Linked DNA regions of Arabidopsis thaliana. The protein of the gene in region 1 interacts with the protein of each later gene in a pairwise test. Each region holds a gene or a part of one and is shown in the gene's direction. Other genes may lie near its edges. The genes, in order: NPSN13 and GB2.

Evidence for each region.
Region 2: the proteins of NPSN13 (region 1) and GB2 interact in a protein complementation assay, tested with the Arabidopsis thaliana proteins (one large-scale study listed by BioGRID).

What each region holds. Positions count from the first base shown.
Region 1 is NC_003074.8:5,968,832-5,974,602, reverse strand, and holds NPSN13 (Putative plant snare 13), read left to right. Parts: upstream 1-2,030; 5' UTR 2,031-2,312; coding exon 2,313-2,389; intron 2,390-2,604; coding exon 2,605-2,697; intron 2,698-2,928; coding exon 2,929-3,022; intron 3,023-3,337; coding exon 3,338-3,375; intron 3,376-3,534; coding exon 3,535-3,635; intron 3,636-3,965; coding exon 3,966-4,045; intron 4,046-4,127; coding exon 4,128-4,184; intron 4,185-4,259; coding exon 4,260-4,352; coding exon of another isoform or gene 4,353-4,356; intron 4,357-4,436; coding exon 4,437-4,511; intron 4,512-4,592; coding exon 4,593-4,694; 3' UTR 4,695-5,038; downstream 5,039-5,771. Other genes in the region: AT3G17450 (hAT dimerization domain-containing protein), read left to right, coding at 1-922, 1,012-1,095, 1,180-1,569, 1,655-1,810; AT3G17430 (Nucleotide-sugar transporter family protein), read right to left, coding at 5,641-5,771. UniProt on the Arabidopsis thaliana protein: Vesicle trafficking protein that functions in the secretory pathway.
Region 2 is NC_003075.7:16,986,325-16,991,290, reverse strand, and holds GB2 (GTP-binding 2), read left to right. Parts: upstream 1-2,243; 5' UTR 2,244-2,451; coding exon 2,452-2,497; exon of another isoform or gene 2,498-2,611; coding exon 2,612-2,751; intron 2,752-3,160; coding exon 3,161-3,243; intron 3,244-3,605; coding exon 3,606-3,810; intron 3,811-3,903; coding exon 3,904-3,972; intron 3,973-4,080; coding exon 4,081-4,173; 3' UTR 4,174-4,451; downstream 4,452-4,966. Other genes in the region: AT4G35870 (early-responsive to dehydration stress protein (ERD4)), read right to left, coding at 1-959; AT4G35850 (Pentatricopeptide repeat (PPR) superfamily protein), read right to left, coding at 4,610-4,708, 4,797-4,898. UniProt on the Arabidopsis thaliana protein: Intracellular vesicle trafficking and protein transport.

The sequences.
Region 1 (5,771 bases):
CTACTTGAGGGAGTACAGATCTTCTTGGGTGGTTACAGGTTGTTCCATAATGGCAGATACTTGGACCAACACAGAGGGCAAGAAAATGATCAGTTTCTTGGTCTCGTGCCCTCGTGGTGTCTACTTCCACTCCTCGATTGATGCCACTGATATAGTAGAAGATGCTTTAAGCCTTTTCAAGTGTCTAGACAAACTAGTTGACGACATTGGCGAGGAAAATGTGGTGCAGGTTATTACACAGAACACTGCTATCTTTAGAAGTGCTGGAAAATTACTTGAAGAGAAGAGAAAGAATTTGTATTGGACTCCTTGTGCAATACATTGCACAGAACTGGTTCTTGAAGACTTCTCAAAGCTAGAATTTGTCTCCGAGTGCTTAGAGAAAGCCCAAAGAATCACAAGATTCATTTACAATCAAACATGGCTGCTTAATCTTATGAAGAACGAATTCACACAGGGACTAGATCTTCTTAGACCAGCAGTCATGCGCCACGCTTCCGGGTTCACCACTCTTCAAAGTCTTATGGACCACAAGGCCAGTCTCAGAGGTCTGTTTCAATCTGACGGCTGGATTTTGTCACAGACCGCCGCCAAGTCTGAAGAGGGAAGAGAAGTGGAGAAGATGGTGTTGAGTGCTGTGTTTTGGAAGAAGGTTCAGTATGTTTTGAAATCGGTTGATCCGGTGATGCAGGTGATTCACATGATCAATGATGGTGGCGATAGACTATCTATGCCATATGCTTACGGTTACATGTGCTGTGCGAAAATGGCGATCAAGTCTATTCATAGCGATGATGCAAGGAAATACGGACCGTTTTGGCGGGTGATAGAATACCGTTGGAACCCATTGTTTCATCATCCTCTCTATGTGGCTGCATATTTCTTCAACCCGGCATACAAATATCGTCCTGATTTTATGGCGGTAGGTATGATTATCATTCATTTGAATCAATGACTAAAAGCTTTCTGCCATTTTCCTTACATTTGCTGTAAATGTGAATGAATCTGCAGCAGTCTGAGGTTGTGCGTGGAGTTAACGAATGCATTGTTAGGCTTGAGCCTGATAACACGCGTAGAATCACAGCATTGATGCAGGTGAGACAAAAAACAAATCACCAAGTCACACACATTGTTCTCAGAACCTGAGGTTAAACCAACTTTTTGTTGAAATGTTTTCAGATTCCGGATTATACTTGTGCGAAAGCTGATTTTGGAACGGATATAGCCATTGGCACAAGAACAGAGCTTGATCCATCGGCGTGGTGGCAACAGCATGGGATAAGCTGTTTGGAACTCCAGCGAGTGGCGGTTCGGATACTGAGCCACACTTGCTCGTCTGTTGGGTGTGAGCCTAAGTGGAGCGTGTACGACCAAGTTAACAGTCAATGCCAGAGCCAATTTGGGAAAAAATCAACGAAAGATCTAACATACGTTCATTACAACTTACGGCTCAGAGAAAAACAGCTGAAGCAACGGCTACATTATGAGGATGAACCACCACCAACTCTTAACCACGCTTTGCTGGATCGGTTGCTCCCTGACTGGCTCGTAACATCCGAGAAGGAGGAGGTACTTAACTTACTTAAAGTGAGAAACGCTAAACGCCATTCCAGTGATTTTATAAAAGGCTAATAAATGTAGTTTATTGGTGAAGGAGGAGGCTTTGCACGGGGAAGACAGAGCAGAGAAGGAAGACCATGAAGACGATGAGGAAGAGGAGGAGAAGTTTTACATGGAATCTGGTAACGTTGACGGTGAAGGTGAAGACAACCTTGATCCTTACGATGATGATCTTAGTGACGATGATTAGTTAGTGCTACAATTCTAACGAAGTAACACTGTATTTTGAATTCTAGCATTGTATCCTTAAAATATTCGAAAAATATGAAAATTTTGTTGGCTAGAAGAATATAATCAAAGTATTATTAGGTGAAATTAGTGAAAGTGAAATAATTTATCTAACAACGGATATGGATGGGACCAAAAAGTTGGCGCCTCGCTGTCATTTTTTTAACTACCGAATATCTGTCTTTTTAATTTATTTATTAATCAATTTTGTTTTTAAAAAATATATATGTTTGAATAAAAAAGAAAAAAACAACACACACCTGACAGCTCTCTTTCCCTTTTCCCGTTCTTTGTCGTCCTTTGTTTCGTCTTTCATTCATTCTCCTTTGTGTTTTCTCTTTTTGGAGATTTTAACTTCAGTTTTTGTCTAATTAGGGTTTTAATTTAAATTGGAGGGAAATTTTAGATGCAGTGACGTAGTTTTTGGGTAAATTTTCGTCGGATTCTGAATTGTCTCCGGCGACATGGCTTCTAATCTCCCCATGAGCCCTCAATTGGAGCAGATCCATGGCGAAATCCGTGACCATTTCCGAGCCCTCGCGTATGTTTTACATGTTATCCTCTTGTTCAATTTTCTAACTATCTCTGTCGTGGTTACGAAACACTGTGATATATATTTTAGGGTTTTGGAATTTTTTGATTATGTGTGCTCAATAGGATTTATGCGTGTTTTGCTTAATGCTGATGATAAGAATTAGATTTAGTCATCACTCAAAAGATTGTTCTTTTAATGATTCACCATTATCTGTTTTGCAGGAATGGTTTCCAGAGGTTGGATAAGATTAAGGATTCAACTAGACAAAGCAAACAACTTGAAGAACTTACTGACAAGATGAGAGAGTGTAAAAGGTATACTTATTTCATAATTGCTATGCTTTACCATTATGTTCTCGGCGTTACAACATTGTTTGCTAATTGCCTTTAGTAGAATGTGCTCTTTGATCACTGTTATGCGTACTTCTTTTTCTTTGAGCTGGATACGATGCCGTATAATGAGAATTGAGAAGGAAAGAGTATTGATGTGACAAATCCATGATTCAATAATCTGTATTTGCTTGTCTAATGTGTACTTCATGTCAGATTGGTCAAAGAGTTCGACCGTGAACTCAAGGATGAGGAAGCTAGAAATTCTCCTGAAGTAAATAAGCAATTGAACGATGAGAAACAATCTATGGTGAGTTTTTATCCTTTGTTTATTAAATTCATTGAGGCCTTTCTTTGATTATACTACAATGTCATATGTATCTGAAGTAAATATGTGAATATTAACTCTTACTTGGCACCTTCGTAAAGTTCCATTATACAGCATCAGTCGTATTCAGTTTGGTCAATCTTTAGGTGTGTTTATAACCGAATGGATATATTAAGGTGGATATTGAGTGTCATTGTGTATCTATCACTCCCCTCTGTACTTTGTATCTGCTAACATTTTGTTTGTATGAACTTTTTAACATCTGTGTTTAACTTTTTCTTTTGTATAATGTTACAGATCAAGGAGCTCAATTCTTACGTTGCTCTAAGAAAAACGTTAGTATTTCTATCATTCCTCTTTAAGAAAGCTGATTATTTGAATCTCAACCTGTTCTTTTAGGGTTTTGATTTCATATCGATCCGTTCAGAATATCTATATAGGATTTCATTTGACTTTTATGTGTTCATACATGTGAAATTGGTCTTGAATCTCAGGTATATGAGTACCCTTGGCAACAAGAAAGTTGAGCTTTTTGATATGGGAGCTGGAGTTAGTGGCGAACCTACAGCTGAGGAAAATGTTCAAGTGGCTTCATGTGAGTCCTTATGCATTCTTGTCTTCAGTTGCCACCAAAATATGAGTTTGCTTAGAACAATTAGAGATTGACATGCTTGAAGTTTAGACTTTTTAATGCTATATGTACTTGAATATGTTGGATTGGTAACTAATGCTCTCTGGTTATTCGTCTGGCATAATTTGTGATGTCTGTCAGTAAATTTCTGGCAGATGGTAATATGGCACTAGAAATGTTATCGGTGGCCTAGATAATAGAAATGAATGATTCTGATAATTTGATTAGGCGCGAAGTATATTATATTGGGAATGTAAAAACTGATGAAGGCTTTTGTCATTTTATTATGTATAGCTATGTCAAACCAGGAGCTTGTTGATGCTGGAATGAAAAGAATGGATGAGACTGATCAGGCCATTGAGCGCTCAAAACAGGTAAGTTACAGAAGGAATTATGTTCCCCTTAGCCTTTGTTACTATATGAATATATCTATGGTAACATTCTTGTTCCTTTCAGGTTGTAGAACAAACACTCGAAGTTGGAACTCAAACTGCAGCTAATTTAAAGGGACAGGTAATGCAAATTATTCTCCTTTACTTCCATATTAATCTTATGAGTAGAGTCTTAAACAACCTGAAAATTTTGCAGACGGATCAAATGGGACGCGTAGTTAACCACTTGGACACTATTCAATTCTCAATCAAGAAGGCCTCCCAGCTGGTGAAAGAGATAGGGAGACAGGTGTGTAACCTCATATGGACATATGTAGATTTATCCTTTTTGGCTTGACCTCAAAACCTGAATGCTTATGTCTACTTATTTCAGGTGGCTACCGATAAATGCATAATGGGGTTCCTGTTTCTCATTGTATGCGGTGTAGTAGCCATAATCATAGTGAAGGTACTGTCTTTTCTCTCTCTGTTGAAAGTTGTGATTGCTCATTAGCAAGTTGTAACTCTGGTTTTTGTATTAATTCTTCAGATCGTGAATCCGAATAACAAAGACATTAGGGACATCCCAGGATTAGCTCCTCCAGCGCAATCGAGGAAGCTATTGTACTTGAGGAATCAAGACTACATGTGAGAATATAAATCTCTATTTGTATATTTATTCACGAGGAATGAGGAAATTGCATCTTGAGGTTCGATATTTCCTTCTAATTTGTTAACAATCCATTTCATGGATGTTAGAGAGAGGGTTTGTGCTTGTTGGCATTGTGTGCTTTGATAGTTGACGAGGCTTGGGGATGTTTATCTTCATGTTCTTTTACTTGTTTTAACCCATTCGTTTGAATCTGGGTTTGATTGGAGGGTGTGTATATTTTCAGCTTTTGTCTCTATTTCTTTTTCCTTCTTCTTTTTTGTAGCAACTTATCACTTCTTTTGTATAAAATTCAGACCAATGTTATACTCTCTCACGTTTTCATTAGATTCCTTTCTTCGTCCTACTGTAGAAAGTTTCATGACACAGCTGGAATTTCATTAGAAGAGTCCAAATGGTTATCACTTTCTGTAACTTGCTAATACGAAGAACGTGATGAAGAGTACTACTACATTTCTGACGTTAAGTATTTATGAAACTACTGACTGTATTCTCCTTTAATTCGTTTTGTTTCACCTTTCTATTACTGGAGAATCAATTACTACTCTTCCAATCAGAATTTACCTTGAAGACATTAATATTTTGTACCAATCAATCGAGTTCAAATATAAGAGATGCTGCTCAGAAGCCGGAACATAATTGAATCCAGGGTCGGCTGATGATGGAAAAAATTAAGACCACAAATATATAAATTTAACGTCAATTCACTACAAACGAATTTGAGACTTTTTAGTTTTCCAGCTAATCATTGGTAATAATCTCCGCTATTCTATCTCATAACAAATTTGGAATTTTTCACCTGACACACGAGGACACGGGTCTAGATGGTGCTGCAACTTCTTTGTTTGGTTTCAAAGATTTTTTTCTTCTAAGTAACAAAATAACGAATTGGGAAGCAAAATGTCTATTATACGTTTATACCGGCATCTTAAGCAGCGTGATTTCCGAGCTGCGTCCGACCAATATGAGACAACCGGGATGTGATCAAAGGGGCTTCCTCGTCGTTTACCTCTCCTCCTACTCTTGGGATCTCCACACTGTCGTTAGGATTGAATTTAT
Region 2 (4,966 bases), on another chromosome or scaffold:
TCTTGCAGCTTCCTCAGTTTTTCATCATCTGTAAATCCAAACCTCTCTGTAATCTGAGACCACAAAACCTTCACCCTAACCCACAAAGAACACACACAGAACACTAGTCCGTTATCTCCAACATTCTCATACTCATCCGGTAGAAGCCTAGAGTCCATCTTGGCAACTAACCAAGTAATCTCATCTCGAACACGAACCAACTCTGTAGCAAGATCATCCAAAGCACACAAATCCATGGGAACAATAAACTTATAAACTTTCCCAGGGTACTTCAGCCTAAAGCAATCTTCAAACTCAACTCTATCAGACCCTAAATTCTTAGGCAAACCCTGCACCATTATAGTAAACACAGCAGTAGAATTCGCGTTCGGGTCACTGATATTCCCATTCCCATCTCTAAACCTAGTAAACTTCAACCTAGCTTCAATAGCAGCGATTCCAAAATGCGAGATAACAACAACAATAACAACAAACACAAAATGCAGCCAAAGCAAAGCTGAACCTTTCTGAATATGCGTAATCATCGTTTTCGAAAGCTCATCACTCAACAAAGCAGTCCCAGCATATAAATTCAACGGAAGCATAACCGAAACAGCTAAAACAGCAATGGAGAAAAGAAGCACAAAGCTTCCACCTTCAATTAAAAGAAACTGAGCAGCATCAGCACCACAGTGACGAGCGATCTCGCGACACGTGGCTTTCCAAACGGCGAGGAGCTTAGAGAAGAGAGCAGAAGGACCAGGCATACGACGGTGGTCGCTGCGTAGCTTAACGAAGAGAAAGATGGAGACGCAGCATAAGAGACCAATGACCGAGATATTAAGCAGATACTGAATGTTGCCGTACCAAGCATCTGGGATTTCAGGTAAGTCGCCGGAAGATGGAGGAGGAGAGAATGAATTATCTATTGTCATTGATGAAATCGGTGGCATCGCAGCTGGTGAAAAATTGCGATTCATCGCGAATTTCTCAACCAAATTGAGAAACCCAAATCTTCGAAGTTTCTTCAGAGATTCAGGATTTATACAACAAGGTTTTGATCAGGAGAAATTTGGGGGCTTTAGGGTTAGACTTTGGGGGAAGTAGATCGACGAAGATGATGGCAAAAGTAGAAAGGTAAATAGAAAAGGAGGAACAAGGAATGCTATCGCGGTTTCGAATCTCTCAAAAGATTCTTCTCCTTAAATCATGAAATTTAATCCCATCTTTTTAAGATAAATACACCCAAAAAAAACGAATTAACACAACTAAAAAATATAAATAATTTGATAGAAGTATATCAAATTGGTAATTTACAGAGTTTTTATGAATAAAACGATAGTTCTTTAAACGATAATTACATATTCTCTAAATATTTCGTGATTAGTAGAATAAGAGAATATAATCAAATTCATAACTCTTGTATATTCATTTTAATCAAATTCTCCTTAAAGCATGAAATTAATCAAATAATTTGAAGGTAAAATACCCAAAAAAATACGAAATAACATAACTAAGATCGGTTTGAGTTTGGGATGAAATAACATCCCCTGTTCTCTAATGGATGGAACTCTGTTTCGAATTTGCTTCTCGAATTTGCCATTGTAGACTATAAGCATTTGTAAGGAACTCATCTCTAATGTAGGATTTGAGTTCTTCTTATCTTCCCACTAGAACATTCATCTTAAACACAGTTATGTAATTTCCATAAGAGATATGAAACAGAGCATACTACCGTGATAATCCGGACACAATTGATATTAGTAGCCTTGTATCAAGGTACGTGTGTATTCCCCATCATATAATAAAAGAAGCTTTTGCTAATGCAAATTTCTGGTAAGTTCACAGTTTTGATGTGCAAGTTCTTTTGTATCATCAATTTAGCGATTATGGACTGCGCCATGCTTCAGATGAATAGAAAAAAGAAACTTATGCTGGTCTCGAAATCCACTAACCAAGCCATTCAACATCAAAGAAAAAAGCCCACATTATAAAAAAATAAAAAAGCCCACTTTAAACTATCAAATGCCCAACAATGGATGATGCACTAGTCGAGTCAGAGTGGACGGAGCCAAAGGCAGAGATGGATTTTAAGCTTTAATTTGTTTCCCAGATATTTTTCATCTGGTCCCTCTGTTTTTAAATAATTAACTAAAACGACTATAATAATTAATAAATTATACTATAGAGTATTTTGTGTGGATTTTTATTTACTGTTGAAACTTAAGGATACAAAAGAAAAACAATTATTCAGATAATTCGTCATTAGATCCCTTTAATTTTAGTAATTAAGTAAAAAGATTATAAAAGATGAGAAGGAGAAGATAGCTTCTTCATCGAGAAACCTCGAAATCAAAAAGCACGTCGGTGACTTGTACTCTTCAATCTCTTCTTCCTCTCTTTCACATCTCCTTCTCTCGAACCCATCGACCTGCGCTAATTCATCATCGACCTTGCTCAAATTCATCAACCATGTCTTACGATTATCTCTTCAAGTACATAATCATCGGAGACACAGGTGAGAGACCGATCTTTCACCTTTCTTAATTCCCAATTGTTTTATTTTTCTGGGTTAAATCCATTTCGTGCCGATTTTCATGTGTTTTCGTTGTTGTTTTTTTTGTCGTTTCAGGTGTGGGAAAATCGTGTCTGCTTCTGCAATTTACTGATAAGAGGTTCCAACCAGTCCACGATCTCACCATTGGTGTTGAGTTCGGTGCTCGGATGGTCACCGTCGATGGACGCCCCATCAAACTCCAAATTTGGGACACCGTACGCTTCCTCTCTCTTCTCTTGGTCGTAATTAGGTCATCAGGGAACTAATCACGTTTTATCGATTAGGATTGTTTTTTTTTTCTCCCTAAGGCAGGATGTGATTAAGAAGATTAATTGTCATAATCAATTCAATTTCTTCGTTTTTATATAAACAATGCCTCATTAGAATTGCCAATACCAAAAATTATGTTTGAAAATCATGTCCAGAGACTCAAAGTGGGGTAAAATTTCAAAAAAGTTAATCATTGCACGGTTCTTGATTAAGTTTCATAGGCTTATTGTAATAGAAGCTGAGTTCACCAGTGCATTCCTTGTTGTGATTTCTTCTGGTCAATAGTTCTTCCATTAGATGATGTATGTGTTGGAGTTGTGCTTTCTGATTAAAGTTTCGTATGATATTTTTTAGGCTGGACAAGAATCTTTTAGATCCATCACCAGATCATACTACAGAGGAGCAGCCGGAGCTTTACTGGTTTATGACATCACCAGGTTAGTTTTTGCCTTGCGACAATATATATCAGCTCGAACTTCTGAATTCCCCAGCAAGGTTTTGGAAGTGATTGGTTCTGTATTTGTGATTTGATAAACCTAGACTGTTGGAAAGGTTTTGGAAATTGGGAAGTTACTTTTATCTGAACAAAATCCTTGGCTATAATATTGGCAATGCTTGTTTGGGAGGATGTTAAGTTAACCATCCATCTTAAATTCTTGCTAAAATAGATATTTTTCCTCCATTGTTTTGGAATTTTGAAAGTTATGAAGGACATGAAGAATTGCAAGAGTTTTATCATTGAGGTTTTTCATGCTTTGATCTTTCTGAAGCTCAAAATTCTTGGTTCTTTGGGTTGCAGGAGAGAGACGTTTAACCATCTGGCAAGCTGGTTGGAGGATGCTCGGCAACATGCAAATCCTAACATGAGTATTATGCTGATTGGGAACAAATGTGATCTTGCTCACAAGAGAGCTGTTAGCAAAGAGGAAGGTCAACAGTTTGCCAAAGAACATGGCCTGCTATTCTTAGAAGCATCTGCAAGAACTGCTCAAAACGTTGAGGAGGTGACATTTCTTCCTTGCAACTCTTTTTCCCCATCCTGTTATTTGGCTGTAATCACATGGAGACTTTTGTCTTCTTTTTCTGGATTCCAACAGGCCTTCATAGAGACTGCTGCCAAGATCCTCCAGAACATTCAGGATGGTGTCTTTGATGTATCCAACGAGGTAATTTCCTTGTTGAATCTGGCAATATACTTAGTCTTCTGGTGTTCTCTAATCCCTCGATTGTGTTACAATGTGATTCAATTCCCTTGGTCTCTCTAAATTTTGCAGTCATCAGGTATCAAGATTGGTTACGGGCGTACTCAAGGTGCAGCTGGAGGAAGAGATGGTACGATCTCTCAGGGAGGTGGCTGTTGTGGTTAAAAAATCCTCGAGAGAGGTGTCACATATCTGCTGTAATCTGGTGATTCAGAAACTACTATTGCTTCTATTTACCTCTGCAAATGGATACACCAGAATGTATAGTTTCTCTTTCTTTCTTTCTTTTTTTCTCTTTTTCCCAGATTGTCTTTTATCAAAAAACCAAACGGGTGCATTTAAGAGTGAACAGGCTGATCTTTATAAACCAAACAGGCGTTGGCTTATTTAAAACGTTGTCGCTTTGTATGAAGCTCTCAAGGTTAAGTAATTGAAATCAAATCAGAATAATATCCAGTCATCATCTAGGTGAAATTTCCTTATTCATCTAAACGAACTGGTTTTAAAATACCCAGATGGTTCACAGAGATCCCAATAAGCAAATAGAAGTAGAAAACGAAGAAGCCATGATACCATCTTTCTTCCTCTTGGTCCCTTTGCTTTAACGCCTATTAGGTAATGTCCCTTCCCTAAGCCGCAAGTTATTGTATGTTCGCGTCACTAACATCAGTCTCGGATCATCCTCTGGTATTTCGCGTTCCTATGATTACCACACCACAAAAACCATCAATAACTAATACCAAGAGAAAGAAAGTTTGTGGTCAAATAAGAAAAAGGTTTTTTATTACTTTCAAGCCCTTGTAGTAAGCTTCAACAGCAGCTAGTGTTGGTAGAATATTCCGAGCTAGCATCAGATCCCATATCATATTTGCAACTGTGTACCCTCCCGTCTGCCATAAAGAAAATGTTTTTTTTTTTTTAACTTTCACTAAGCCAACTCTTTATATCAGTAAGATAT